Notamacropus eugenii: one gene and its partner. The protein of the gene in region 1 interacts with the protein of each later gene in a pairwise test. Links are inferred from orthologs where the notes say so. Each region holds a gene or a part of one and is shown in the gene's direction. Other genes may lie near its edges. The genes, in order: BMAL2 and CLOCK.

What was found.
Region 2: the proteins of BMAL2 (region 1) and CLOCK interact in binary tests that used the Homo sapiens proteins (3 or more experiments, as listed by UniProt). The link is inferred for Notamacropus eugenii from reciprocal best matches to the Homo sapiens genes BMAL2 and CLOCK.

What each region holds. Positions count from the first base shown.
Region 1 is NC_092874.1:178,208,723-178,225,228, reverse strand, and holds the start of BMAL2 (basic helix-loop-helix ARNT-like protein 2), read left to right. Parts: upstream 1-9,771; 5' UTR 9,772-10,047; intron 10,048-16,506. UniProt on the Homo sapiens protein: Transcriptional activator which forms a core component of the circadian clock.
Region 2 is NC_092877.1:106,940,364-106,956,400, reverse strand, and holds the start of CLOCK (circadian locomoter output cycles protein kaput), read left to right. Parts: upstream 1-8,664; 5' UTR 8,665-8,885; intron 8,886-16,037. UniProt on the Homo sapiens protein: Transcriptional activator which forms a core component of the circadian clock.

The sequences.
Region 1 (16,506 bases):
ATTAATTCTAGTGCCTTTCCTCTGTTAATTATTTCCCATTTATCCTGTTTATACCCTGTGTATATTTGTTTGCGTATTGTCTCCCCTATTAGATTGTAAGCCTGGGACTATCTTTTACCTCTTTGTTTCTCCAGTGCTTAGCATAATGCCTGGCCCTTAATGTCTGTTGATTGATTGAACCTAAAGTTCTAGCCCAAGAATCATCCAATCTAGTAACTGTCCCTCCTCTTCTCCAGAGGGCAGGGATTTACTTGTTTTTGTCATTACGTTCCCAGTGCCCAGCACAGTGCCTTGTAAAAATTAATTTTCTAAATATTTGCTTTATAAAATCTAGAAGGAGATAGATGGATAGATAGATAGGTAGGTAGATAGATACATAAGATACCTAGATGATAGGTTGATAGAATGAGCAAGCTACATCTAAATCTATTGATATTTCTCCCTGGCTTGGAGAAATCATTATCGTTATGTATTTTTCTTCAATTTGGACATATCACTTGTTATTTGCCTGGTAAGTATGATAGCTATCAGGACCAAAAAAAATCATATACCAACTACCCCTAGCAAGATGAGCACATACTTTCCAGAGGATACTCTTGTAGGAGGAGGCCTGCTGACTTGTGTTGGAATGAAGTGTGACTTCTAAGAGGTATTTCTCATTTAATTTTTACTAGTAAATCAATCCTTTTATACACAGAGAAGTCACAGGGCATAATGCTTAGAGAGCTCTCTATCCTCAGTGTAAGGACTACCTGAATTCAAGTCCCATCTGTGGCATACTATGTCACCCAAAGGAAATCACTTAAAGTCCCAGTGCCCAAGGCAACTCTCTAAGAATGTAAGAGACAGAACAGTTGCAGAGATGCATTGGTGGAGAGAGTTTACTCACCAGAAAGTCTCTACCAATGAAATCACACATCTGAATACCAACAGAAGATCAACCCTTATGTCTAAGAGGGGAAAAATAAGAGCCAACCACTTGTTTAAAATAAGAGATCATGTTCCTAAACCATCTGTTAAGATATTCTTTGGCTCTGCTAGTTTCACATTATTGCATGAAGGAAAAAATTAGTTATTCTGAAAAGAAAAAAGAGCCAGCATTTTAGAACACAAAGAATGAGTACCACTGAAACCTTACCAATGTAGTGGTGCACAACTGTTAAATACTGCCTGCTTCTCTCCATCCACTCCACATACTGCCTCCCTGTTGTTTTAGAATCTGGGCTACTGCAATGTGACTTTCAGGCTCTTTATGTGAGTGAGTCATCCTTTTAAAGAAATATGGTCCTTGTTTGTTGATTGTGGATCACTGCAGTTATGTTATTGGAGACAATGTTAGACTAGGAGTCAAGAAGACTGAATTCTAGTTTTTCCTTTCCCATCATTGAGACCTTCAGAAGCTACTTAATCTCTTGGAGACTCAGTTTTTCCCTCCTATGAAATGAGGAGAATACCTGCCCAAAGGATCTCATAGGATTGTTTTAAGAATTGAAAAAGATAATAGTTATAAAATCCCCTTGCAAAACATGAAGCAGTATACAAATATGTATTTTAACTCTTGAGACACCAATTGGGTGACTGTAAATAACTTAGACACTATTTGCCTCAGTTTCCTCAAATGTAAAATGGGAATTGTAATAGCACTTGTCTCACAGGGTTGTTGTGAGGATCAAATGAGAAAATATCTATAAAGCACTTAGCACAGGGCCTGGCACATCTTAGATACTTAATGATTATTTCCTTCTCTTTGAGTCCTGCTATTTTCACTCTGTTGTAGAGGGTCACCTTTAAAATAATCAAGATTCCAGTTTGGGGATATTCCAAAGGTGTAAGGACCAGAATGATGGCAACAATGCAACTTTATTTGGACCAAGTTGCTAAGTCAGCCAATGTGAATTCTAGTTGTGTACATTTGCCCTAGAGCAACCACTTGAATAAAAGCTTTGGTGGAAGCCATGTTCTACTTTAAAGCATTGTATCTGCTTGGCTCTATGGTGACATACTGTTTCAGAACTCTGCCAGCAGAAATTGAAGCTGGTGGGAGCTGGAGTGAATGGTAATGAGCAGAGTTCAGAGTCATACAAAGCCTGGGCTGTGGTATAAAGGGTTACCCTGCTCCCACCCCTACCCTTCCCACTCATAGACACAATGGTTGAAAACAACTACAGATAGGATATAATCTAGCTATTTTGAAGTCTGTGGTAAGAATATTCTTGGTCCTACAGCTTCTTACTTCAGAAGTCCAAGATAGCACTTAAATCAGAATTACGAAGCTAGTTTGATTTAATGTAAAGAGTATTGGATTGGATGAATTTGGCTGGAGTCCTATAACTTATTAGCTGGGTGATTTTGCCTGGTGTAGTAGATATAAGTATTATACTTGTCAGTCAGTCAACATGATGAGGTACAGACTCTGGGAACCTCCTTGAACTCTCCAAGAATCTTTCCACTTAATCTGGTTTTTCATACCCAAATCTGTTAGCCTTAACCTAGCCTGGCCCTCCATTATCTGTTACCATAGGGTTGCCTCACCTGCTTCTCACCCCAGCCCTTCATTGTCTGCTATATCCCAATTGCCTCCAGCTGTTTCCCACCCTTGATCCAGTCCCCGGTCCCAAAAAGATCCTCCTTGGACTCCTCCTCAAGACCCTCCCTAAACCCCTCCTCCCATCATCCCAGACTACCAAGCCACGCCTAGATCCCTCCCACAGTTTTTCTGCACACAAGTTCCATCTTGCCTCCAAGAAGGCCCTCAGATTCTACCTGGCCTGCTTGTCAATACTAGTGTCACAATGGTTAGGCTTCTTAAGAGTCAACCCTGTAGGGCAAATCTTTAATAAACTTTGTTTTCTTTGGCTAAAAGAAGTCTTCAGTCAAATTCATTTGGGCAGGGTGTCATTTGGGGTCTCAAGCACTCCAGACTTCAACATTGTGGTTCCCTGACCTCAACAGACAGGCACTTCATATGTATATGTATGTGTGCACGTACACGTATGTGTTTATACATACATATGTTTATATTATTTATGTGTATATAACGAGTATATACATGTATTTATATTATATGCATATATATGAATATACATATATCAACATATATGTATGTGTATAGCTATAGCTATATCTAGATATATCTATAGGTAGATATGCATTATGCCAAAATTTTCAGAGCAGAACTTGTAAATGTTAATAGCTACCATTATATACCACTTTTAGGTTTGCAAAGCACTTTACATGTATTGTGCATCATTTGATCCTCACAATGATCCTGTGTGGCAGGCACTATTATTCTTATTTTACAGATGAGGAAACTGAGGTGTAGACATGTTAAGTGACTTACTCTGCTTCACACACCTAAGGCTGAGGTAGCCTTTGAATTCAAGTTTTCCTAACTCCAACTCTAGCACTCTATCTATTGTACCACCTTGCTGCCTAAGCAAGTATCCCTAGACTGGGAAATGGTTCAACAAATTGTTACACGAATATGTGTGTGGGGTTAAAATCACCCCATCTTAACCAGGTGTAACAGGAGATTGGGTATGCGCAAATATGTATGTCTGCATATTTGTCAGATTCAAATTCCCTAAGTGGAAGAAACTGGAGAGCTTGTTTCTGGGAGAGTCATCATGATGTATAATAGAAATGGCTTGGATTGTGGAACATGTGTAGACATTTTGTAACTGGATTGTTTTTATGAACCACTGGTGAAAAGATGGCTTTTTGATGGGCTTTGGAGACATTAAAAAAGAATTTGCAACCAAAGCCTCAGTCATTTTCTCTTCTCCTGCACTCATGGTAAATCCCTAAATGAAACTTTGTTGACAGTGTCCAGGAAGAGACAATGCTGTAGGGGAAGAAGCTTTGAGAACTCCCTACTGATGTCTTTATGTGGCCAGTTAATGCCTCCTACCTCATCATGTTTCTTTTTTTTGTTTTAGATGAAGGGATTGGAGACACCAACCTTGTGAGTTTCAAAGGTCAGGGAAATGACACCTCACTATACCATAACATTCCATTTTTCTGTCTCTGGGCCTTTTCATTTGTTATCTCTATGCCTAGAATATTTTCCTTCCTCTCCTCTGCCTTCTGAATTCCCTGGCTTCTTTAAGATTCAACTCCCTTCCCACTTCCCATATTACCCCCCATGTACAATACACAGTTATTTAGATACTATTTCTTCCATTATATTGTAAACTCCTTTAGGGCAAATACCCAGGTGTTTTGGGGGGGTTTTTGTTGTGTTTTTTTTTTTTTACTTTTGTTGCATTCCCAGTAGTTAGTACAATGCCTTATGCAATAAGTACTTAATAAATGCCTGCTGACTGCCTAACAGTGACCAGAGATGGAACATCAGATTGGCCACAGCAAATATGCCAGTTTGGCTAGAATGTAGAAATACATGAAGGGAAGTAATGTTCAGTCAGCATGGAAATATAGGTTGGCACCAGAATGTAAAGACTTCACAATGCCAAGTCACCGTTAAAGTTTTCTGAGCTGGGAAGTAGCATGATCTCCCCTGTCCTTGGACAAGTTAACTCTCTCAACCTCAATTTTCTCATTTTTAAAATGCAGGAGAATGGAATGAATGACCTCTAAGGGCAACAACATTTGTAATTCCTATTTTAAGAATCCATGATTTCATTTCTGTGTCTTTTCATTGACTCTTTTGTGCCTAGAATGCTCTCCCATCTCACCTCTGCCTCATGGCTTTCTTTAAGACTCAGGTCAAATCCCATTTTACAAGAGACCTTTGCTAGTCACCCCACTCCCACTGCTAATGCCTTCCCTCTAGTATCATCCTCCCCTATTTATGTTGTCTATATCTTATATGTACATAGTTACTTATGTGTTTTCTTCCCCATTTGAATGGGAGCTTCTTGAGGGCAGGCTTTTGACTTTGTGGGGAAGGGTTTGTTCATTTTAAATTTCATGATCATAAATTTAGCTCCAGTCTAACCAGACTTGTGGAAAGAAAAGGGGAATCTAAAGGGAAATGCAGTTAAGTGAAGCACAAAGATTATAGGGTATAAGAACATCCAGGGGTGATCTCCCCAGTTACAAAGGAATAGTTTAGTGGGTAAGACAAAAAAACTAAACTGAAAAGCTTATGAGAGTTGTCCACAGTCAGAAATGGTGATCTGCCATCTGGTCTTGACATCGTGGAATGTGAAGCACTCCATGGCTTTCACCTAGCCAAAGACCACATGCTTACCATCCAGCCAGTGTTAGCTGTAGGAATGAAAAACAAGGAGCCATTTGTGTGGGGCCCAGCACTTGCCATGGACAGGGTACTTCAGGGTAAAGTTCTCTTCATGGAAGTTTTCTACTCTTTGGAACCTTTCCTGCAAAGAGCTTGTAAATAGCTTGGTCCAGGGGCTCCTTATTAGCAATGTCAAAGAATGAGATGGGATTGGCAGAAGGGTGGAGGGCAAGAGGGACACTGTGAAGTTAAGGACTCTTGGTGGCCCTGTCTGCAAAGTGTTTTGATTTACTTGGTATGCCTAAGGCTTAGTATAGTTCCTGGCATATAGTAAGTACTTAATAGATGTTTGTTGATTGATTGATTGATCTATGTGGATACTTCTTGTACCCACAGCTTCCCTTTGCCTCAGTAGTTGATATCCTTGAGTTATTGTGGCTGAAAAAGTTTATCACTTGGTGACCATCCTTACAATATCTATCCCTTCTGACCTTCTCTGACTAGGCCAGTGTTCATCTGCAAAACATCCAGTCTGTCATTGGCACCTTATTCAAAACATTTCCAGATTGATAGAACCTGCCAAAGCTTAAACTCTGGCATCCCATTTTGTCACCCATATCCCCTTCTTACTAGATTTTGGTGGAGGTCTTTGATTCTAAGAATGGAAGAGAGAACCCTCAGCTGTCATACCCTTGGCATGGCCTTATTTTTAAGTAACACTCAGGACTAATGAGTAGGTTCTCCAATCATAATGGGTAATTTAGAACCCCATGATTAAGGTTAGATTCACAGAAGCATAATTATCAAATGTCATCTGGTTTGTGTACAAGGCTTTGGAATTTTTTTCTGGGTTGTTTCATTTGCCACTACCTCAACTAAGAAAGCTGTAACCAAGGAAACCTAAGGACTATGAAATAGCATATTCTAAACTTGGATTGTATCTCTAGAAAATTCATTGTAGGATCTTAATGCTGTAAGTGATTTCTAAAGGTGACATTGCCCAATGCCCTGCTTTGTATAAAACATTCCAGGAGATAGGTGTCAGTCCTGTCACTAAAGATTTTCCAAGGGGAAGAAAAGGTAGTATTGATTGGCTTGTTCAATAACATACAGTGTGTCCCTAGAATCTGAATTCAGTAAAGCAATTTAAATGATTAAAACTTTAAACTGCAGTAAGACTTTTGGGACACCTTGTATTCCTATCAGTCACACCAGGAATAATAACCCACTTTTTGTAGCAGTTTAAGTTCGACACAGTTGTACACAGCATGATTATCTACATTTTAAAGAGATGGGCTTACAGAGGTTGTGACTTTCCTGTGATCACATAGCTAGCAAATATCCAAGTTGCCATTTTAACCAAGGATCAGCTGACTCTAGGAGCAGTGTTCATTTACCCCATACTGCTCTCCAGTATTTTACCTTTGAGAAAGCCAAGGGAAACCCTTATAGTACAGTCTAAAGAACACTGATTTGCAATCAGAAGACCTGGGTACGAATCTTGGCTCTTCTACTCACTACGTGGACAACCTTGGATCAGAGCCTCAGTATTTTCATCTCTAAAATGAGAGGGTTGGATTAGATGATCTCTCAGGTCCTTTCTGTCTCCATCTCTTATAATCATCTGATTTTCCTTATATTTGGACCAAACCTTTCTGCAGTTTTACTATGAAGAAACAAATACCTTAAATCTCTGTAGCACTTTTTTCCTCCTCCCAACAATTTTCACATATATTATATCACTTGATTTTCATAATCACACCTTGGACAAGTCACTTAAACTCTCTCTGCCTCAGTTTCTTTTTCTGTAATATAAGGAAGTTGGACTCAATAGCTTCTGTGTTCCTTTCCAATTCTAAAAATCTATGATCTATGATTTATGACATTGTGATACAGGGCAGACATTAACCATATATTACCCATTCAATTAAATTATAGTCCATAATGGCAGTTTTGGAGACAAGGCAGGCTTCACAAAAGAAAGGGCAGTCATGGGCTATTATTACAGTATGTTGCAACTCAAACAAGGGAAAACTCAAAACCTAAAATAAGAAACCATATTGCTGAGGAGAGAAGGGGCACAGGAGGAGAGGTAAAAACTGAAAGGGCAAGAACAAAAAAAGGCTATACTTTGAGAGGTCACCAGCACTTTAAGTTTTCACACTCTAGCAGGAGGAAGAGGATGTAGCATATCCAGGATCTATGACTCTCTCATCACTCTTCTCCTTGATAATGAAGGATGTCCAGGAACTTTATTTTTGAGGGGTGGGAGAACATAAGTTTTCACTCAAGGTGGTTTGATAAATTTCCCATCTTTAAAGTCATATACAAAGGGAAACTGGGGATTGGCCAGCAAGACACATGAAATGGATTTTTTCCAGAAAATAAAAGGGAATGAGCATGGGTCCAAAACAGAGGCAGCCTGTTATCAGTATTCAGAAAAGTTTCCCAAAAGATTTTTTTTATTATCACAAGTATCACAATTATCATGCTGTATATACATGGTATAGGCTTAAGCCCAAAAAGTTTAAGTCCAAGGTCACACAATTAATAAGTAATTATATATTTGTATAATTATATAGAATGTATGTTTATAGAACATGTAACCTTAATTTTAATATAAATTATAGATCATTATTATATAAAATAGGTAAGCTGGAAGTTAAACTCAACTTTTTACACTCCAACTTCACTACCCTGGTCCCTGCTGTCCCCTTAGTGTCACCCTTGAAATTCTTTGTTATCTTCAAACTAAAGCATTCTTTCATTCCTTTATCTCTTCTTTATGGAGTTCTGAAAATTCAACCCTTTACATTATACTTCTGTGGCTTTACTTTTGGATGTCAGATTCCATATGAGTTAAGACAGTAAGTGATGTCAGTCTCTGAACCTCTCTCTCTCTTTTCTGCAGTGGGGGAGTTGTTGTTTGTCCATTCTTCTTGAAGACAATCATAGTATCCAGAAGGTGATGCTATGACAAGTGAATAGGATTTAAGTGAGGCAGGGTTGTGCAAAGTCACCAGCCCCACTTTCTCCTCCAGAGCCATCTGAGTCCAGTAACAAGACTGGAGATGGCCCTGTAGGCAGTGGGAGACCTTGACCTTTTTAAGCTAAGGTGGAGTAGTATGGTTGTGGAATATTGAATATATTCTCTGAACCAACTGATGTGTTGTTTAATTTTGCCAAACAGCTTCCCTCCTCCCCTTTTTTTCTTATCGTTTGCCATAGGGAAGGACTGTCTGAGTAGGAGGAAAGAAGATCAAGGTGATGTAAAAATAAACATTTTTTAAACTTAAAAATAAGACCAAAGTATTGGAGGGGTTGAACTACTAAAAAAGAAATGTCATTTTCTTTTTTTAATTTTAAAATAATTTTTTCTTGATCTTTTGATTTTGGTTCACCTACCCTTCCCAATATATCCCTGCGCCCTTCTCAGAGAGCCATCCTTTACTTTAAAAAAATAATAATAAAAGCAGAAAAAAGTTCGGTAAAATTAACACACATTTTGAAAAAAGGCTGACATTCTATCCAGTATTTCACACCCATAACCTCCCACTTCTGTAAAGTAAGAGTGTGGGGGAAAGGGCCTCAGATTCTTAGCATTCAATTTTTAATATTTGTTTCTTATATTTCTTTCCATTTCTATTGTTGTGGTCATTGTGTCTATGGTTTCCTCAGTTCTGCTTACTTCATTTCATATCATAGGACCATAGACTTAGATTCATTAGTGGCCAAGTCCAAGGCCATTCCCTTTATAGGTAAGGAAACTGAGACCAAGAGAGGATAAATGTCTTGCCCCGGGTTACAGAGATAGTAAACGTCTGCAGCTGGATTTGAACCCAGGACTTCCTGACTATGGTTTGTATAAAGTCTTTCCGTGCTCCTCTGTTTTCATCATATTCATTACTTCTCACATAGCAGTAATATTTCATTACAATCTTGAGCGACGACGGGTTGAGCCATTCCCCAATGGATGGGCATTCACTTTGAAAAATTTCATATTTTAACACTCATACATTGATATAAATTTCAGCTGTATGGAGGGAGCAGGGCACAGTAGAAAGAACATTGGAACCCAGGGTTAAAAGACCTGGGTTTCAGGCTCATCTCTGCTGTTTAGTAACTGTGAGACTTTGGGTAAGTCACTCCACCCTTCTGGGCCTCAGTTTCCCGATCCGTAAACATGCGGGGGTTGGACTTAGATGATCGTTAGGGTCCCTTCTGTTTGTAAATCCTATGCCTCTCAGGGAGCTCTTTGGGCAGCATTAATACTGAGATCAGGGATGCCAGTGGGAATCCCCCTTTTTCCTCGTCCGCAAGTCATCTGTGATCTGTCTGTATCTTTTGTCATCCATCTATCTCCTGAGCTCCTGGACTCTGGGATCTCCTTTTCAAAGACTTTGAGCCTGCCGCAGGCACCTCTACCCCCAGCCCAGCCTCTGCTCCTCCTTCGCATTTCTCCCAGTTACCCCGAAAACCCGGTTAGCGGAATCGGCATCCACTGCTTGCCTTGAACGGGTGCCAGGGCAGCCCGACCGGGCATGCTCAGTAGCCCGGCAGGTTCGGCAGGCGAGTCTGAAGCTTTGCCCGCCCCAGCGGCTGGTGTGCAGGGAGAGGGGCCGCTCGCTGCAGAGGTGGCCGCTGAGCATCCCTGGCGCAGCCCCGCAGGTGTGCCCGCAGCCGCCGCGCTGCCGGATCAGCCTCGTCGGGCGTGTGCTGGACGGACTGGGGCCCCCCTCCATGCAGCCAGCCCGAGGGCTCGAGAACCAGCCGGCCGGCCCCTGCTATGGCTGGGGGAGAAGACACTGAGTCTGCAGGGAGCCAGCCCGCCGAGGCTGCGGCGCCAGGTGAGTCCCTAAGTGACACAGCCTGGCGGGCTTGGGGCGAGCTTGGGAAGGGGGGTGGGCGAGTCTGGGAGCTTAGCCCCCTCCATCGACCCCGAGCTGGGGGACCCGCTGCCGCTGCTGCCGCTGCCCTGGATGGGAATGGAAGGAGCCTGCCTGTTCACGCCGCTCCTTGGGATACCTGCTGCGGATGAGGGTGAGCGACTGACGAGAGAGCACTTAGCTCCTTCAGAAAGGGAAAGCAGGCTCTGATTTTGTTATGTGCACACCTATGGGCTCAGGTGGCAGGATGCTTGCCGGGGAGGCACGATGGAAGTTGTGTTGGCACCGCTTGGGCAGATTTAAGTGTATGTCTTGCCCTGAGGGGAGAGCCCTAGAAGCAAATCCGTTCCGTTATTCCAGAGCAAATCTGTAGTCACAGATCTCCTTCCTACTACCCTCTTTCTGTCTGTCATTTTGAATGGTCTACTTGCTTTCTTCTGGCCCCCTGCCATCATCATTCATAAAAAGAATTTTGTTGTTGTTGTTGTCATTCCAGAACACAGGAAGAACAGGCAGCATTCTCTTCTCTTTCTGGCTCCAGAAACTAACCAACTTTGACTGAAAAACAGGCAGGAGAGCTGTAGCTCACAGGCTCCTTAAAAGAAACGAAAATCTATTTCTTTCCCTCTACTCTTCCTGCCCCAAGAAACGCACCCATCCATCCACACCCACACCCACGCGCCCACACCCCCACACCCCCACACTCCTTGTAATAAAGGGGGAGGTCATAGATTTAGAGCAGCAGCCGCTACCTATTCAATCCCTTCTCCCGATTTATATTTGAGGAAACTGAAGCCCAGAGAGGTTGAATGATTGGAAGTTACAAGCAGAATTTGAACCCAGGACCTCTCATTCTAACAGTGCCTCTCATGGTACAATGCTGATACATCAGCTTACAGGATTTTTATTGTTGTTCAGAAAAAACCAACTTTCTGTTATACAAAGTTTTCTTTCATTTATTATAATTATTTATAGTAGTCTGTCTCTTGGGTCTGTTATTGAAAATAATGGAACCATCATTGTATCTACCACTTAAGATAAGTGACAGAGAAATAAAAAGAATTTTAAGAGAGTTTGCAGAAAAAATATTTGGGCAGAGGTGATTAGATTTCTATAAGCTTTACCTAATGTAGTAAAAATATATTCAATTATTTGCCAAAATAGACTGTGAGATGAGAAAACTTAGTATTCTCAAAGTGGTACTTTGGAGTCTTGTAGTGTTTCCAATTCCCACCATCATAATGTACCTCATCATGTATTTTGCAGAAGACTGGGATAAACAATTACTTAACTTATAGCTCCTTTTTATTTTTTAGTTAAGACTGGTCTCCTGATAAAATATTTGTCTAGACTTGTGAAAATATGTAACCAGTTTTGTCCAAATCCAGGAGGCATTTGAATTCTTTCAATGTATGCTAATCTAGGTGAGCAGAAATTCTAGATTAAATCGTATGGCCCTGACTGAACCTTAGTGACAAGGTACCTTTAGCTAAGTTATTTTCATTATAAATAAACATTGTTGTTTAGTTGAGAACTAAATGTGAAGTTAGGACATGCTTAAAATGATCCTTCTGACTTAGCTTTATATAAACATACATAAACAGTGAGTTTGGTGACTGCAATAATGACAGTTTGACCTTCTGAGAGACTGAATGAAGTGAGGCAGATTGCATCTCATTTCCTAACACCTCCCCCCTCCCCCCTTTCTTTTTCTTTGAATCCTAGAGCCTTGTGTTAAACTGATCTAGACCCTGGAGTATGCCTTGAGAAGGAGACAGGTTTTCAGTAGGCATTATATTTCTGAGAAGACCGAGCAAGTCCAACTCAACCCTTCATCATCCATATTTAGGAGGGGCCTGAGATATCAGGTCAGTTCTGAGGCCAGCCTATAGGCTTGAGTCCCCTTTTAGACAGGCTTGGGCTAAGTGGAAATCTAGTGGTGAACTTCTGTGCCATCCAAAGTAGCCCTGTAACTCCTCAGTCTTCCTGGAGTCTTTCACGTTAGGCATGACTCAGAATTGGTTTGTTCTCTGTGGGACTGTTGCAGATTCCAACAGATCCTCTGGGCTTGGCAGATTACACTTACAACTTTAAACAAGGATCAGAACTGAACTGGACATCTGAGGTTTTCTGGTTTTGCTTTTTCTTGGTTGATGAAGATATATGGCACAGTGGATAGAGTGCTGGGCCTCGAATCAGGAAGATTCATGTTTCTGAGTTTAAATTTGTCCTCAGACACTTACTGTGTGACTCTGGGCAAGTCATTTAACCCCGTTTACCTCAGTTTCCTCATCTGTAAAATGAGCTGGAGAAAACAGTGGCAAAACACTTGATTGTCTTTGCCAAGAAAACCCCAATGGGATCACAAAGACTTGAACAGGACTGAACAGCAACAAATATGGTAGAGAGAAGTTAAGACCTAAGGTTTAAGTAAGATATGATCCCTACACATAATTTAATACATTCTTATATTACGTGAGAAGCAAAAATCCAGCCTTGAATCTAAGAAAACTTGGCTGGATTCAAGTCCCATTCCCAGTACACTAGATGGGTGACCCTGGATGAATCACTTAGCCTCTCAGTGTTCTATACAACTCTTTAAAACTATACATTTCTTTTTCTTCTTGGTTTCTTTCCTTCCTTTTTTTTTTTTTAAATTTGGAGGCAATTAGGATTAAATGACTTGCCCAGGGCCACATAACTAGTAAGTGTCTGAAGGCAGATCTGATAGTCCTCCTGACTCGAGACCAGTGTAAAACTATACATTTTGAAGAAAATACTGACTTGCACTGGGAGAGAGGTCTTCCTCACTCAGGAGTTCTTATTAATGAAATCACAGTTCTAATCCCATCCTACATTGCATGACTAGTACACTCAAAATAAACTAGAACTTTGCCTATTATCTTAATGGTCTTCCTCAACCTAACACTTTCTCTCTACTTATCTATTTCATTATTTTGGGTGAAACAAAAATGTTTTAAGGCAGTTCTGATCTATAGCTCTTTATTACCAGGTTCCTATTCCAGGAATCTATTTCCATTTATCTCATCTACCAAACTACAAATTTATCATTATATCTAAATAGTCTGATATTAAGATCTTATTGGTATAAGTCTAAAAAAAAAAAAGCAGGAGGCTTGAAATTACTTTCTGTGCTTGGACTGTAGAGGGTTAGGTAAGGAATCTTTCTAGCCGACAAAAATTCCCTGGGGGAAAACCACAGGTAGACAGTTCATTTGAGAATATTATTTGACAGACTTAAGAAAAACAGAAAGACTGTACACTCTGCCAAGTGAGGGTGAGTGTCTTCTTTGTGGATGACTTCAGAATTCCTGGAATCGAGGACAAGACAGCATCCAGGAGAGCAGAGTAGACTGAGATCTCCTGATGGTAGGAGAGGTGGAGACAGAGCTGCCTTGCTCCTATTCATCCTGTTTTTCTGCTAATCCCCTCTTAGTTTCACCTTGAAATTGAGGAATAATACCATTTTGCATTGTGGATTTGTAATTACTATGATTGAAATTCATTTTTTTCATGACTCAGCAATCAGAAGCCATTTTAATTAACTCTATATAAACTTGTATTCATAGTCAGCATCCATACTCAATGGTTCTGCCTTGGTGCACATTCCCCAAGTCAAAGTAGAACACTCTCACAGAACTGCAAAATCTTAGAACAAAAAGGGACCTTTGAAAAAATTTTGTCTCAGTCTTTCATTTTGCAGATGAGGAAATTGGGTCCCTAAATTGCAGAGCTAGGACCAGTACTCAGGCTCCTGACTCAGTCCAATGTGTTTTCTAGGCACACCAACACACTACTGATTACCTTTCACAGAAACACACACACACACACACACACACACACACACACACACACACACACACACACACACACACACACACACACACACACACACACACACACACACACCCCTTACCATCATTTAAACTGTGGAACAAAATGAGAAACTCAAACATGTCATACTGAATGCAGCTAATATTTGTCTGTGCTGTGAAACTTGATTAAAATGCTCTTCCCTGCAAACATTGTTAAAGGATTTATGGATGGAGTTATAAAAAAAATGATTACTTTTAGTTTAAAAAAATGTGACCTATTTACTTGATTGAGCTCTACTTTTTATTGTTGATGGTTAAAGGCCAAAGAAGATCTAGGGCATTAGTCATCGTCAGCAACCAATCTGACAGACATATATTAAGTATCTATCATGTGCAAAGCCCTGTTCTAGGAGCTATGATTATAAAGAAAAGAAAGCAACAGTCCCTGCTTATTTTACAGATATGGAAACTAAGTCACAAAGAAATTAAGACTTGCTCCTGATAACATTACTAGTGAATTCGAAGGGCCAAGTTACTTCATCTCTTTGGAGCTCAGTTTCCCCATCTATAAGACAGAGATAATAATAGCACCTGCCTCCCAGCATTGTTTTTAGTATCAAATGATATGATTGTAAAGTTCTTAGCACAATGCTTGGTGCATAATAAGCATTATATAAACGTTATCTGCAAAATGGGGATAACCACATTTACCTCCCTCATAGGATCATTATGAAGGTCAAGTCTGACCATGTATTTTCTAATTATGCATTTTAAACATTTTTTAAAATTCTGAACTTAACAAAATGCAGAGCATTTTCACATACACAGCAGAATACAAGAAGAGGGGTTGGACATACACCTATTCATCTCCATTTTATATCACTTGCTTTAAAAAAAAAAGTACATCAATTTCACCCATTAATTTCAAAACTGACTCATTTATTTGTCCTTCTTTTTGAACTTCCTTCTGTACTTAGGCCGAACATTAGAAAAAAAAAATTCCATCATTCCTCCACCTTCTTTTTTTTTTTTTTTTTTTTGGTATCACTGTTGCTAACCCCATCTTACCCCTCTCCCATTAAAAACTGAGAGAAAAAGCAATCTTGTACAAAACAAGCAAAACTGATCTATATAGGAGGCAGGCGGGTAGTACAAGGGATAGAGTGCTAGGCGTGGGGTCAGGATGATATGAGTCCAGCCTCAGACATTTACTAGCTGTGTGACCCCTGGGCAAGTCCCTTAACCTCTGTTTGCTTTTATCCACTGGAAAAGGAAGTGGCAAGCCACTCCAGTATTTTTGCCAAGGAAACCCCATGGACAGTACAGTCAATCCATGGAGTCACAAAGAATCGGACACAACTGAACAAGTCTATATAGAGGCTGTGTCCAAAAATGGTTACCTTTTTTTCATACCTTGAGTCCATTACCTCTCAGCCCGGAGGTTGTTAGCAATGTTTCATCAGAAGTCCTCTGGATATATGATTAGCCATTGCATTGATAAGAATTTAAACTCCTAAAGTTGATTTTCTTTACTCTCATTGACCTTGTATAAACTGTAGTCCTGATTATTCTCACTTCACTCTGCATCACTTCACACTACAAAAAATTCTGTGAAATTGTCTCTTTTGTCACTCTTACAGTGCAATATTTCATAGCATTCGTACACTAAAGTTTGATCAGCCATTCTCCATTAGATTCTAGTTCTTTTCATTTCTTCTCTCTCACAGAAGGCAAGAAAATCCTACTCCAGCATCAGAAGTTTGTTTTTCTACTTGCCCTCACATTATCCTTCACCTTACCTCAGTTGTTGAATTCGACATATTTCTACACCAAATGATTTTTGCATGTGGTCTACCCTACTTCGTCCATTTCAGATAAGAATGAGGTTCATCTGATGCTTTCTGTCCCCATCCTGTCCTCCAGTGTTTATATATTTTTCTCATGCACTTTAATTATAAGAAATAGCAAGTTTTAGCCCCTTCTTCCTCTGTTCTACACATTCATGTGTTCCTTCTTGCTTATACTTCTCTTTCATCTTTTAAAGTCCTCAGAAGAAAATCAATCTATGCTCAGGTTCTTGTTTTTCTTACATATATCACTTGATAACATTTGAAGATATCAAGATTCTGAAAGGATACTGTTTTTTCTCCCTCTTTTAGAATGTTGGCACTACTTCATCATAGAACTCCTTCATATTGTTCAATTAATTTTACCTTTCTAGATTTCTCTTGATTTTTGTGCTTATTTCCAAAGCTTCTGCTCAACTCTGATCTTTCATTAGAAAAGACTTAAAGTCTTCTATTCTATTAAAGATACATTTTCTTCCCTGTAAGATTATAATTAGATTTGCAGTATAAGTTATTTTTTATTGTAAACTTATCTTTTTTGTCTTTTAGGATATTGTATTCCAAGGTCTCCTCTTATCATTAGTAGAACATGTTAGGTCTTGTATGATCCTAACTGTATTTTCTTGGTACTGGAACTGTTCCTGCCCCCACTCCAGGATACTTACAGATTTGTTTGTTTGTTTAACATGGGAGTTTTGGATTTGGGCTATGATATTCCTGGTATTTTCCCTTTTGGG
Region 2 (16,037 bases), on another chromosome or scaffold:
AGTCATTAGCCTCCATCTGTTCCATTCTAATTTTGAAAGAACTATTTTCTTCAATGAGCTTTTGAACCTCCTTTTCCATTTGGCTAATTCTGCTTTTGAAAGCATTCTTCTCCTCATTGGCTTTTTGAACCTCTTTTGCCAATTAAGTTAGCCTATTTTTCCAGGTGTTATTTTCTTCAGCATTTTTTTGGGTTTCCTTTAACAAGGTGTTGACCTGCTTCTCATACTTTTCTTTCATCTCTCTCATTTCTCTTCCCAGTTTTTCCTCCACCTCTCTAACTTGATTTTCAGAATCCTTTTTGAGCTCTTCCATGGCCTGAGCCCATGGTATATTTATTTTGGATGTGTGGGATACAGAAGCCTTAATTTCTATGTCTTTCCCTGATGGTAAGCATTGTTCTTCCTCATCAGAAAGGATGGGAGGAAATATCTGTTCACTAAGAAAGTAACCTTCTATGGTCTTATTTTTTTTCCCTTTTCTGGGCATTTTCCCAGCCAGTGACTTGACTTCTGAGTTTTCTTTCCACCCCCATCATGCCTCCAGATCTGCCCAGCCAATGCTTGGGGTCTGAGATTCAAATGCTGCTTCCCAGCCTCAGGGCTCTGGGCAGGGGTGGGGCTGCTATTCAGTGTGAGATTAAGTTCAGATGCTCAGATGGGGGCAGCTCTGCCACTCGGGGCTCAGTTCTCTCAGGGGGTTTATGCAGAGACCTTCAACAATGGATCCAAGCTCCTGCCTGCTTGGGGAGCCCTGGTCTACTGTCACCCCCGCTGCTGCCTCCCGAGTGGGCCTGAGTTATGGGGACACCCCACTCCCCTCTTGACCAGCCAAAGAGACCCTCTCACTGACCCTTGTCACCTGTGGGTGGAGGGACCTGCCTTCCTGCTGGAGATTCTGTCCCTGAAGTCTGCTCGAATCTGCTCCCCTCAGGGCTGCGTGCCAAGGTAGGGCTGGGCTCCACTCCAGGTCCAGTGTATGACAGACCTTTTGAGTCAGGTTTTCAGGTCTCTCTGGAACAGAAATCTCGTCCACTCTCTTGTTCTGTGGCTTCTGCTGCTCCAGAATTTGTTGGGAGTTCTTCTTTACAGATATTTTATGGGCTGTGGGTTCGGAGCTAGCATATGTGTGTCTTTCTACTCCACCATCTTGGCTCCTCACCCAGATGTATAGCTCTTGTTGAGAGAACTAAGCAAGTATCAAGTCCAAATAGCAGCCCTGAGTGAAACAAGCCTGGCAAATGAAGGCCAACCTACCGAAGTCAGAGTTAGATATATGTGTTTCTGGAATGGCCACAGTGAAGGGGAGTTCTGTGAAGTTGGCAGAGGTTTTGCAATAAGAACTAATCTAGTCAGCAAGTTTGTATGGCTACCAAAAGGAGTGAACAACAGGCTCATGGCAATGAGATTGCCACTTGCAGGGAAGTGACACACCACTATCATTAGTACCTATGAGGAACCCTGATGAAGCCAAAGAAAAATTTTATGAATTCCTGGAGACCCTTATCATCAATGTGCCAAAAAAGGACAAGCTTGTAATTCTGAGTTCTTTGAATGCTAGAATAGTTACAGACTATCAGACATGACAGGAAGTCCTTGGGTCACTTAGTACTGAAGATATGGTGTTCTCTCATGACCAACACTCTTCCATTTACTTCAATGTAACAAAACTACATGGATGCAACCTTGCAGCAAACATTGGATTAATAGACTATGTCATTGTAAGGAGAAGAAACAGACTGGATGTGAGAGTGGCAAAGGCAATGTGTGGCAAAGAGTGCTGGACTGATCATAGCTTTATCCTCTCCCCAAGTTAAATATTCCCATTCAACAAAAGCAGTGGCCCCAAGACAAGATGAGTACCAGAAGACAATGTCAATAGATTAGAGTACTTCTCTGGTAGGAATAGTTTATAGCTAACTTGGAGGGAAAGTTGAACCAACACAAGGCTGGAAACAGTGGAGCAGAAAATGAGTAGGCAGTTTTCAAAGTTTTGATGTACAGCACTGCATTTACTCATCTGGGTCACAATGCTTACAAACATTGATGAAAATGATGGGGAAATTCAGAAGCTGCTAAATGAAAAATAAGAACTCCACATGACATTCCCTGTTTCATGCCTTTGCATGGGTAGTCCCCCATGCCTGGAATGTACTTCCTCCTAACTTCCACTTCTTTCTACTTCCTCTTTTCCCTCTAGATATAGCTCAAGCAACACCTTTATTTAAGTCTTTCTTGAGTCTTTTTTTTGAGGGCCTTTTCTCTTAAATTACCTTGTATTTACCTACTTTGTTATTTGTTTTCTCTCTCTCTCTCTCTCTCTCTCTCTCTCTCTCTCTCTCTCTCTCTCTCTCTCTCTCTCTGTCTCTTCCATATGTACTTATATTAATAATTCCTCTTTGTCTCTCCTGATGAAGTGTAACCTCCTTGTGACTCTGGATTGCTCCATTTATTTAATTTTATCCTTAGCAGTGCCTGGAGCATCAGATGTTTAATAAATGCTTGTTGATTGAGTAATAGTTTTATCCCCTGATAGAATGTTTCTTGAGGGCAGGGACTATTTTATTCTTGTCTTCATTTTCCAGCAAATAGTACAATGCCTAATCCATAGTAGGTACTTAATAAATACTTATTAACTGATTGATACCAAAGGCATAGAAAAAAATCCCAGACAATACCATTAACCAAAAGAGGTTACTAAGAAGAAACCAATAACTACTGCCTCATATGCCTACTTTTTCATCTCAATGAAATTTTTCTGAAAATAATATGCATGTGCACCAAGGACATTCTTGATAATAGTATTGTTATAAGGGATCAGTTAGGCTTCCTCAGATGATATTCTACAGTATTCAAAGCAGTGACTGAGAGATTTAAAGAATAAAAGATCCCATTGTACTCACTGTTTCCTGACTATAAAACATCACAAAAAAACCATTGAGTCAATAAAGCATTGTTATCGTTCAGTCGTGTCCAACTCTTTTTAAACCCTATTTGGAGTTTTCTTGGCAAAGACACTAGTATAGTTTGCCATTTCCTTCTCTATGTCATTTTATTGATGAGGAAACTGAGACAAATGGGTTAAGTGGCGTGCCCAGGATCACATAGCTAGTAAGTGTCTGAGTCCAGATTTGAATTCAGGAAGATGTCTTCCTGATTCTAAGCCCAGTGCTCTATGCACAAGCCCAACTTAAAGATTGTCATCCAATAAGGTATCTTCCATGCATTTGATATTTTATACATATTGAAAATGTAACGCTACAAGGCTGCAGTGTTTGAAAGTCTACCGCTGCTGAGTAGCCTATTTGATAGTGCAAGTAATGCCTAACAACTTCTGAGTAGAAAGGAGAGGGTTGTAATTTTGTATTACAGCCAGAGAAGCTGTAGTATAGTGACTTGATCGGGGTATGGTGCTTCTTGATAAGAAGAGATTTCTATCTGTTTCCAGAGTTTTTGTATCCAGGGCTTAAGCTCTTTTGGAAGTCAGTCAGCTAATCAGATCTTGTACGCACTTTGAAACCACATCTGCCTGCTCTCAGGATCAGTATCTCCATCCCAAGCCTCCAACCAGGGTTATAAAGTCCCCTTTGTCTGTAGTCAAATCCTGATTGCTAACCTGAACACCCTTCTAATAATTGCAGGGGCTATCTTCACAATTCTTGGGACTGTCTGAATCTGAAGCACCAGACATTTTCTTGGCCCAAATCCCTTGGGTCTTGCCATTCAATTGAACATGAATATATTTTTGCTAAACTAATAAGGCAAGGTCATTGTCTTCCTCTTTACCCACCTTCCTGTTTTTATTCTGTATATGTGACTGGTAAAAAGCCTCACGGACTTTGAGATGCCCCCCACACCTTTCTAGATTAATTTCTCACTACGTAACCTGAAGGAGGTTGGCTTTGGAAAAGCAGAACGGATATCTTTTCATTGAAAACTAGAAGGAAAGTAGGAGAATGTTTTGAGAAAAAGAGAAGCTTTGAATTAGATAAGGAGTTAAATGGGGGGAGGGGCATAATTTACACCAAATGACTTCCCATAGCTCAATACATTTGCAAGTGAGGTGATTTCCTGAAAGTATCTGGCAAGTAGAATCCTAATAAATTAATTGATTAAGTTTGAGGATCAGGAAAAAAGATAGGGCAGTTTTAGGAAGGGTAAAAACAGTTTGAATCCAGTGGAGTAAGAGAAAAGGAATCAAGAGGATTGTCAAGCACGGTGAATGTTAAAGTGAAGCTAGACAATCTGGATTTGTCATTGGCCCAGTCTGCACGGGTCTGTGATTTTCCCCAGCAACGCTATCCAGTCTGGGGACAGAACTGAAGAATGGAAGTTGACTAGGGATTAGTTCTAAGAGTGGGGAACTGGGAAACATAAAGGGAGGAAAGAAAAAAGAAGAGGGTATTATTGGAGGTTAGCACTAAAGTGACTGACCACTGAATTCTGCCTGGGCAGAACTAGTTAAGTGGAGGAAGAAAAGGTCTAATGGATTAGGTGAAGTGATGGACATGTGGAACAACTAGAGATTCAGGTGATGAGGAAGAAAGGTTCAGTGCATGTGGATTAAGTTGCAAGTAAGGAAACTATGAATAAGGGACACCATTTAAGTGAACAATGAAAAAATGTATTAATCCTTTTGTTTTGCTACCACAGTCATTTTCTGGTATGCGCAGCCTTCCTTGAATACTCTGAATAACCAACTTCATGAAAAATGATTTCTTCTGACATTGAATGTAACTTCTGCAACTGTAGTCCCTCCATCTCACCCCACCCCATCCCCAATACACAGAAAAGTAAAATGGGTTTCATCGTCTGTTCTCTGGGATTAAAATTGGTTGTTACGTTTCATCAACACCTTCCAGTGTTGCAGGTATTCATCATATATATTTTCTTCCCTCTTCTAATTTCTTTGCTCTGTATCACTTCATATTAACCTCTCCATAGTTTTCTGAATTCTTCCTATTCATCATTCCATACATTATATTCCATAATACTATTCAATAATATTCACATACCACAGTTTGTTTAACTGTTCCCTGAGAGTTGAGTACTCATTTTCTATACTTTTTTTTGCTAATGTAAAAAATGCTGCAATCAGTATTTGATTGGACTTTTTCCTTTCTCTTTTTGGGGGTATATATCTAGTAGTAGGATTGCTGGATTAAACATTATTAACAGTTTAATGGTTTTTCTTGCATAGTTCAAATTTGTCTTCCAAATGGATAGATTAACTGGCAACAGCTCCACCATTATTATTATTTATAATAATTTATAATTTACAATAATTATATAATTATAATAATTATTTACACATACATTATTACATATTAGTGTTCCTCTCTTCCCCTCACCACTCCTTCAACATTCGTTGTTTCTGTCTTATCTTTGCCAGTTTGAAGTTAGGAGGTGAAATATCAGAGTTGTTTTAATATGAATTTCTTTAATTTTTTTCACATTGAACATATAATCTATTAAACATTGACTGTGCAAAATACTGTGCTGGGAATACAAAGAAAGAAAAATGCCCTCAGAGGTAATCAGTTGAGGGAAGTAGGCTTGGGAAGGTAGAAAGTGAGGGGAGGGCATGATAACTGTCAAGTACTTGAAAGGCTGTCCCATGGAAGGGAGATTAAATTTGCTCTGTTTGACTTCAGAGGACAGAACTAGGAACAGAAGCAGCAGCTAGGTGACATACTAGATTGAGTGCTGGACCTCTCTTGAGGGAGACCAGTGTTCAAATCCTTCTTTGAACTTATACTCAGTGTGTGACCCTAGGCTAGTCATTTAACTTCTCTGTCTCAGTTTCCCCATCTGTAAAATGGTAATAATAACAGAACCTACCTCACAGGGTTGTTATGAAGATCAAATGAGAAAATGCCTTAGAAAGCATCTGAGTAATGTGAAATAAGGATGAAGGAAGAAGAGGGAACTCTCAGAGAATATCAGTTTTTTCAGTGAAATATGAGACAGGGTTCTTAGCTGAGAAGGTAGGGGGAGGGAGAGCCATGAGAAGTAGGAGGGATAAAAAGGTGTGTAAAAAAGCTTTTGTGGCAAATCAGAGAGTGAATAGATTGGGGGCGAGGAGTTACTCTGGAAGGATTGCCTTCCTGAAATGAGAACCCAACTGAGATTATGTAACATAAATTTGTAATTGACGTGTCCAGCTTTGTTGAAAAACATGTGAATATAATCATTGATGATGAATAAGTGGGAATAATCTAATGCTGGACTTGGCAGGTGTCCATAAGACTAACTTTAATCAGCCTTTCCCTGATTTAGCTTCTCCCCAATAATGTGGAGAGGTCCAGGCTCCTCCTTCCCTAAACCTAAGGGGTTATCTTTTCAGTAAAAGGAGACAAATCAGTCCCCAAGACATGATTAACTTCCCCTTCCCCAGACCAGCTTCCAGGTCACCTGAAGGCATAAGAAGTTTCAGTCACATAAGCAGTCAGGGAAGTCTGAAAACCACAGCAGTCCCGACCTCATAACTAAATACTTTTCCATATGGAGACAAGGGGAGGTGGGGGATAACCAGAGAAGCTAAATAGCATTGCATCAAGGTCCCATCTTTGCTAAATTAGGGCAAAGTAAACTACCTTCTGTTATCTGTTCCAAGACTTGAAAGTGCCTTACTTAGTAAAAGCAAACCTGAACGGAGAGTGAAAGTGTTAGGGCTGGTAGAGCAGCCTCTGGTAACAGGGCAAGATCAGCTGTAGGATAAGGAGCAAGGAACTCAAGGTAAGGTGATAGTGTAAAGCTGAAACGGTTCATTCAGGGTTCAAGACCGGGAAGGAAAGACCGTAACCAGTTTACAGGTGTTAGCTGGGGAAACACCTGAGGAGAGGAGTGATTGAAGTCATGGTGAAGATGAAGAACGGAGCTGAGGGATGTCAGGCAAAGAGAAAAGTGAAATAACAATAGGTCATCATCAGATAAATTTCAGAGTTCATGAACATCAAAGTAGACGTGAGTCATGGCAAGACCAAGGGCATGACCATCCTTCTGTAGCTGAGGTGGGATTGAGAAGCAGGTCATGGGAAATGGATAAATTGAGGAAGTGGGAGGTCAGGGTCTTTGAGGGAATGTGTGTATAGATATAAATGCGCACACACGCACACACACACATGTCTTCTAATATGAGGACAGAAGTTGGGGAGGGGAATGTGTTAATGGACTCAGAGGAAAGCAGAGATGTCTTGCAGGTCAGTAGATAAAAGCTCCCAGAGTTTTGATTGGACGATATAACTATGGACTGAATGACCCTCAAAGGAGGAGAGGTTACCGTGCGTATAACCCGAATTGCCCCTAGGGTCGGAGAAGACGTTCTGGGAAGCAGTGTCCTCAGAAGGCAGTCAGGTCTCCAGTGAGTGCCAGACGGAAGGAGAGGGAAAACATTAGATGGTCATCTCCTCTAACCACCTCCCCTCGCCCATCAGTGCCACAATCCTAGGTGGTGTGAACCATAGGTCTGAGTCAGTAGGACAATCCTATACCTAGGTGTCTTCCCGTGGGTACAGAGAAAGTCAGTTTTAAATAAAGCTCACTGCAGGGACTGTCCTTGTTATATCCAGAATGTGACTTTTAAAAACAGTATGTATACACTGATTTAAATTCCACGAAACTGCCTAGGAATTGAACGGGTCTAACACCCCTGGCTCCCCCAAATCCAAGCTGCTTTGCAAGACGGACCAAGTATTCCTTAAGCACCGACGGGGTCATTTAGGTGCGCGCTTTGAGGCAGCGATGTGGACAGTTACTGCCCAGGGTCGGTCCCTCCTCACCCTCTCCGGGCACCGAGCCTGGGGCCGGCTGGGGGTGGGGTGGGTGGGGAAGGTCTGTCTTTGACCCGCAGACCACCGGGACAAAGTACGGCTCCAGCTCGGCCTCCTCTGGACGCCTTCCCCCCGGCCCGCAGCGCCTGCGGCCTCGAGCAGCAGAGCGCGGGCAGGGGACTGCCGGGCTGGCCGGGGAGGGGGGCAGGAGCAGCCGAGTTTTCCTTCTCCGCCTGCGTGTGGTTCAAGGCTCTCTGAAGAGGCAGGCCCTGTCCTTGGAAAAGCCACGCCAACCCCACCTCCCGGCTTTCCAGTAACGGGATTCGTTCCTGCCAAATGCTGGGAAGGAAGGCAGGAGCGAGACCTCCGGGAAAGCCCCAGCTTCCTCTGTGCCCGGGCCAGTCTGGGAGAACGGGGACAGAGCTAGAGCAGGCTGGGAGGCGGGGATAGAGGCTGGGGGCCAGAAGCGAGAGGAGGAGGGAAACCTTCGAGCCCGCGCAGGCGCAGGGCCGACGCGAAAGCTGGGCAAACAGGAATCCCTCACCCCACCCGCCCCAAGCGCCCTCATCCAAGAATCCGCATGCGCACCAGAAGGCTCGGGAGCCTCGGAGGCATGGCTGAGAGAACGAGGCGAGGACGGCCGTCGGCGCATGCGCACGGTCAGACGCTCAATCACAGATTTGATTTGCGGCTTGCCGATTAAAAAAAAAAGGGTCTGCTCCCTACGCGTGCGCGCTGCGGGCAAGCTTAGCCAGAGCGGCTGGGCCCGGGGCCTGTCCGTTGCCGGTAGGCTTGACTTGGCGGCGCATGCGTGCTAGCCGTGCCGGCGGATGAGGGGAGGGGAAGAAAAGAGGAGGGGAAGGAGAAAGAAGAGTGGGGTGGCCGCAGCGGCGGCAGCAGCAGCAGCAGCAGCAGCAGCAGCAGCAGCAACCGCGGCGGCGGTGACTGCGGGTACTTCTCGCAGGCCTCGGGTGCTGCTGCTGCTGGCGGTGGAGGCTTGTGGTGTAGCAGGGGCTCCTTGGGAGAGGCAGCAGCTGCCGCAGCCACACGGCGGGGTGGGGGGAGGGGGGAGAGGGGAGAGGGAAGAAGCCGCCGGAGCCGTCGGCCGTTCGCACGGTGAGGACCGAGGGCGCTGGGGAGGGCGGGGGGCGCTTCTCAAAGTTTGACAGCCCCGCGGGAGAGTCTCTCTCCGGGAGTTGGCTCCGGGGCCCGCCCGAGGAGGGGACGCCCCTCCCCCCTGGGGCGAGTTGGGGCTACCTGGCGGTCGGGGGGGGGGGTGGCGGAGGCTGGGGGCGGGGCGGAGAGCCGGGGGACCGAGGGTGTTTCCTCAGGGACCCGCTAGGCCTTGTGACCCACTTTATTTCTGTCACTACCCAGGCACGTTTGGAGCGCAGCCCGATTGGGCGTCCGGGTCGCCCTGGGCTCTCGGTCACCCCCTCCCTGTCGCCGGCGCTCGCGCGGCCCGGGGAGCATCCTCCCCGCCCGCTGCCCGTGCCCGCCGGGCTCCGGAGCGTTGTGCTCGGCGCGGCGGGGAGCGGAGCGGAGCGGGGAGCTGCAGCGCGGCCGCCCCCGCCGCATCCGGCCCGCGGAGAGCCGCGCCGGGCCGCGCGAGGCCGGGCCGCCCCAGGCGGGAGTTCCGAGCTCGGACTCCCCCTCGCGTGTGCTACTCCTCGGGGAACGCTCGGACGGCGGAGCCGAGCGGGAGGTGGGGAGGGCGGGCTGCCCCTTGGCCTTTCTCGCCGAGGGCGGCTTCTGACCGCCGCTCTTGCCCCTGGGGTCGGGCCGCGCGTCGCCTCCCGGGGGTGGTGGGCACAGTGCGGGACTTCCCATTTCGGCCAGGAGTCGGGGGCGAGGAAAGAGGCCGGGACCTGGCGGGGGAGGGATGTCCGTGGTGTGTTGTTTCCTGCAGTTGGGATTGATCGGCGCTGGGAAAACTTTGAGGCATGAGAGAGAGGGAGAGAGAGGGAGAGGGAGAGAGAGAGAGAGAGAGAGAGAGAGAGAGGGAGAGAGAGGGAGAGGGAGAGAGAGAGAGAGAGAGAGAGAGGGAGAGAGAGTGTGTGTGTGCATGCGTGCGCACGTCTGTGTGTATATATTGCATGTGTATGTGTGTGCCTGCAGGCGGGCCGGCGGGCCTCTGTGTGTGTGTGTGTTCTGTGCCTGCCTCAGTGCTCATACAGGTACACTGCAGATCTGTGCATATGGAGGTTGTGTGCCAGCGCGTGTGTGTGTGTATGTATATTAGTATATGTATTACGCTGATATTTGAGCACATAGGTGTGTGACTAAGTGGGACTGTATACATGTGTATATGTGTGTCCCTGCAAGCAAGACTGTGTAGTGTGATAACGTATATGTGTGTGCATTTATATGTGCATGTTTATGTATGTATACACGTTTGCATATGTGCACATCATTGAGTTCATATGCACCTGTCTATGTGCATGTCATATAGACGTATGTACTGTCTGTCTAAATAGGTACCCCCAAAAATTGAAGATGAGAAGAAAAAGGGAAACTTGTTCAGCTACACGTTATTGGTTCATTCTTATGATCCGTAAAATCAGAGTAATGCGGTTCCATTCACAATTGCATTTCAGTTTCTGGGTAAGGGTGTTTTGGTCAGGGTGAGGGTGTAGAAAAGGAATAGGAGGAAAAGAGACTACATTGTTGAATGTATTTGCTATAAATATTTAAAGATTAACATGGAAACATCCTAATCCAGGAAGCATTTAAAAAGTGCATTCCTTTTACTGAAATAAATTCTTTGAGATGCCTCCAATCTGATTTTGCTTTAAAACTTCTTAGGGAAGAAAATAATCTTGAGTCAAATGTTAAAACACTTGACTGAAAAAGATTGTTTCTAAAGTTAAGCATGAATAAAGTTGTGTGAAATTAGTTGTATTTCTTTACACACTAATATATTCAATGACCTTTTTGAAGTAACAACTTATTTTTTAATTCAAGAAAACAAAAGCTAGTGGACTTCTCTGATTTGTGGACTTTAATTCTGACCATGAACAGAGATTTTAAAATTCAGTGGAATATGGAATAGTTTGCATTTTCATAGTTCACTTCTTTGGTTTAGATACAGATATCATGGTGCTCTTTGGATTTGACAGTGGTTGTCATGCTCATATTTTCAGAGTTTAGCTTCATTTGTACTTCATTAATCACTACTGTGTAGTGAAAGTTTTCCTGTCAATCACTTAGGAAAAATGAATAGACTAATATGTGAATTTCATATTGGATTTGGCTTGTCTAGGTATTCTGAATTTCAAGTCATGGAATTTAAGGGTCTCAGCAAGTACTATAAAATTCATATTAGGAAATAAGAGATTTCTCTTGTAAATCAGTATATTAGCTGTTTAAGACAATTTCACGATGAAGTTCATACTAAAATAATTTTTAAAAAATTTAATGTTAATACATGTCCTGTTTTATATACTTTTAAAATTACCACTGTCCTAATATTAATGCAAGCAAGGATATGGGGGCTAAAAGGAGGTTACATATTTTTTTAAATTTCAGACTCCCTCTAGTGGCTGACAGGGTGTATCCTTTTGAAATTACTTTACCAAGGAGTGGGAAAAATTGCTGGGAAAGTTATTATTTATTGAAGGTTTTTTAAAAAGTAACTTACTAGTCTTACTTTTCTTTGTAAATTTTGTATTATTTTTGTATGTCTTTGTATTATAGGACATGAATTTTGTATTTGATCTCTTCTTACATATAATTTCATTTTTTGGTTCTGAAAGATGGGCAGTTATTTCCAATTTGCTTTACAGTGGGTGTTCTGTTCAGTCTTGAACACCACTGAAGGCAGTGTTCAACTAGTCATTCTGTACCATCCTCCCCACCAGTGACCTCCTTACTTTTCCTGCCATTGCTAATATTCCATTGCAACCCAAGGACAAGTGAATGATTTTGTAATACATCATAAAATATAATATAAAAATACAAGTAAAATACAAAATACAAAAATGCAGCTATGAGTCTTAGAAACAGCTATCTCTTCAAATTTGAAAGGCCGGGATAGTATGTGAGCAGTTTGTATTGCCCTAGGTATGCTCATACTGGTATGGACTATCCTTGATTTCAGGGATTCTGGTCTGGACTTGAGTGTGTCTCAGTCTATACAGTCGGTGGGCTAAGTCCTCTGTTTCTGCACCCTTTAAAAAACTTTCTTTAGTATTTTATTTTTCCCCAGTTACATGCAAAAATAGTTTTTAACATTCATTTTTAAAACTGAGTATTAAATTCTTTCCCTTCTTTCCTCCCCACCCCCCTCATTGAGAAGGCAAGCAGTTCGATATAGGTTATAGTTGTGTAATAATGTAAAACATTTCCATATTAATCATGTTGTGAAAGAAAACGTAGACCAAAAATCCTCAAGAAAAATAAAGTAAAAAAGTATGCTTCAGTCTGTATTCAGACACCATCAGTTCTTCTCTGGGGATGGATAACATTTTTCATCGTAAGGCCTTCAGAGTTACCTTGGATCATTGTATTTTAGAGAACAGCTAAGCTGATCATCTTACTGTATTGTGATTACTTTATACATAATACATTTCACTTTGCATCAGCTCATCTAAGTCCAGGCTTTTCTGAGAGCATTCCACTCATCATTTCACATAGCATAGCAGTATTCCATCACAATCACATAGCACAATTTGTTTAGCCATTCCCTAGTTGGTGGGTATCCCCTCAGTTTCCAATTCTTTGCTACCAGAAAAATGCTGCTATAAATATTTTTGTACATCTAGGTACCTTTCCTTTTTGTTTTTTGTCTGTTTAGATATAGAACTTAGTAGTGACATTGCTAGGTCAAAAGGTATGCATGGTTTTATAGTCCTTTGGGCGTAGTTCCAAATTGCTATAAAGAATGGTTGAATCAGTTCACAACTCCTTTTCTTTCATTTTTCTCACATCCTCTCCATCATTTGTCATTTTCTGTTTTTGTCCTATTAGCCAATCTGATAAGTGTAAAGTGGTACCTCAGAATTATTTCAATTTGCATTTCTCCAATCAATAGTGATTGAGGACATTTCTCCATATGGTTATAGATAGCTTTGATGACTTCATCTGAAAACTTCATGTCCTTTGATCATTTGTCAGTTGGGGAATGGCTTTTATTTTTATAAATTTGACTCAGTTCTCTATATATTGAGAAAGGAGGCTTTTATCAGAGAAACTTGCTTCAAAAATTTTTTTCAGTTACGATTTCTAAATATATTTCCCTCCATCCTATCTCCCTTGGCCCTCCCCCACACATTTATTCTCTCTCCTTTCACTCGGTCCCTCCTCAAAAGAGTTTTGCTTCTGGCTTCCACTGCCCCCAGTCTGTCCTCCCTTCTATCACCTCCCCACCCCTTTTCTTACCCTGTTTCCCTCCTACTTTCATGTAGAGTAAGATAAATTTCTATATTCAATTGAGTATATATGTTATTCCCTCTTTGAGCCAATTCTGTTGAGAGTAAGGTTCACTTCCTCTCCCCAATTCCCCACTTCCTCATCTTCCCCTCCACTGTAAGCTTTTTTTTGCCTCTTTTATGTGAGATAATTATGCCTCTTCCTTTCCCTTTCTCCCAATGCTTTCCTCTTTCTCACTCCTTAACTTTATTTTTTTAGATATCATCTCTTCATATTCAACTCATACCTGTGCCCTCTGTCTGTATATACTCCTTGTAAGTGCCCTAATAATGAAAAAGTTTTTTATGAGCTACAAGTATCATCTTCCCATGTAGGAATATAAACAGTTTAACCTTATTAATTCCCTTATGATTTCTCTTTCCTGTTTTATCTTTTTTATGATTTTTGAATCTTATATTTGACAGTCATATTTTCTATTCACTCTAGTCTTTTCATTAAGAATGCTTCAAAGTCCTCTATTTCATCGAATGTTCATTTTTTACCCCTGATGGACCATACTCAGTGTTGCAGGGTAGGGGATTCTTGGTTGTAATCCTAGCAACTAGTCCTTTTTACTCTGGAATATTATATTCCAAATCCAGTCCTTTAATGTAGAAGCTGCTAAATCTAGATCTTAGCCTGACTGACTTCATGATACTTGAGTTGTTTCTTCCTGGTTGCTTGCAATATTCTCTCCTTGACTTGGGGGTTATGGAATTTGGCTGTAATATTCTTGGGAGTTTTCATCTTGGGATTTCTTTCAGGAGGTGATTGGTGGATTCTTTCTGTTTCTATTTTACCCTCTGGTTTTAGAATGCCAGGGCAGTTTTCCTTGATCATTTCTTGAAAGATGATGTCTAGGTTCTTTTTTTGATCATGACTTTCAGGTAGTACAATAATTTTAAAATGATCTCTCTTTGATTTATTTTCCAGGTCAGTTGTTTTTCCAGTGCGATATTTTGCATTGTCTTCTATTTTTTCATTCTTTTGAGTCTGTTTTATTGTTTCTTGATTTCTCATAAAATCAATTCTGATTTTTAAGGAATTACTTATTTTGCTCAATTCTGATTTTTAAGGAATTACTTTCTTCAGTGAACTTTTGTACCTCCTTTCCCATTGACCAATTCTACTTTTTAAGGAATTTTTTTTCTTCAGTGAATTTTTGTGCCTCTTTTTCCATTTGTCCAGTTAGGCTTTTCAAGGCATTCTTCTCCTCATTGGCTTTTTGTACCTCTTTTACCATTTGGCCTATTCTGTTTTTTAAGGTGTTATTTTCTTCAGCATTTTTTTTGTGTCTCCTTCATCGAGCTGTTGACTCTTTATCTATGATTTTCTTGCATCACTCTCCTTTCTCTTCCCAGTTTTCCTTTTACCTTTCTTACTTGATTTTCGAAATTCCTTTTGAGCTTTTTCATGGCCTGAGACCAATTCATATTTTTCTTGGAGGCGTTGACTTTGCTATCTTCTTCTGAGTGTGTGTTTTGATCTTCCTTGTCTTTAGTAACTTTTGTATGGTCAGATTTTTTTTCTATTGTTTGTTCATTTTTCTCATCTGTTTTTTTTTTTTTTTAAGATTTTTAACTCTGCTAAAGTGGAGCTCCTTCCAGGGTGGAGGTACACTGTCCCAAAATTCAGGGGCTTTGTGTAGCTGTTTTCAGGGTTACTTCTAGGGACCTGTAAGTTTTCAGTTCTTCCACTGTGGTATGATCTAAGCAGAGGTGTATTTACTACTCTCCTGGCCTGTACTCTGTTCTGAGTGACCACAAGTGTTCTTTTATGTACCTGGAACTGTGGCAAGGGTCCCCTCTTCTACTGTAGCTGCAAAGAGACCCCTGTAAGCTCCTTCTGATCAGTTGTTTAACTCCCTTGCCATCCATGGGGCTGAGAGCTCCAGAAGCAGCTGCTGCTTTCAGTGCCTCTCAAGGACTGCTTCTGTTTTCCTGAGACTTGTCTATGCTGGCATGGCCTGCACTGAATTGTACTCCTCCTCACCCAGTGCTACAGCACTTTTCCTGCAGACCTTCTAAGTTTTCGTTGCCTGGAAAATTATTTCACCTTGTCTTTTTGTGGGTTCTGCTGCTCCAGGAATTGTTTTATGTCATTATTTAAAGGTGTTGGGTGGGTTTTGGAGAGAGCTCAGGCAAATTACTGCCCTCTATCTGCCATTGTGACCCTACACACCTTTCTACACACTCTTTTAGCAAACTTGTGCCCACCAGTATCATATTAAGCTCTGGGCAGTTCTCTGAAATGGACTTCAATGCAGACCTTCATCCCAAGTAAAACACTAGTTGATTCAGAACTAATGGCTAATTCTGGAGAGCAATTTGGAACTCTGCCCAAAGGGCTACAAAAATGTGTACATCCTTTGACCCAGCAATATCACTTCTAGGATTGTATCCCAAAGAGGTCATAAAAATAGGAAAGGGTCCCACACATACAAAAATATTTATAGCAGCTCTTTTTGTGGTGGCCAAAAACTGGAAATCAAGAGGATGCCCATCAATTGGGGAATGACCGAACAAGCTGTGGTATATGAATGTAATAGAATACTATTGTGCTGTAAGAAATGATGAACAGGAAGACTTCAGAGAGGCCTGGAAGGACTTATATGAACTGATGCTGAGCAAAAGGAGCAGAACCAAGAGAACTTTGTGCACAGCAACAACCACAGTGTGTGAGGAATTTTTCTGGTAGACTTAGCCCTTCACAGCAATGCAAGGACCTAAAAAATTCCCAATGGATTCTTGAGGCAAAACGCCTTCCACATCCAGAGAAAGAACTGTGGAATCAGAATGCAGGATGAAGCAGACTATTTTCTCTTGTATTATGTTTTGTTTTGTTTTATAGTTTCTCTCA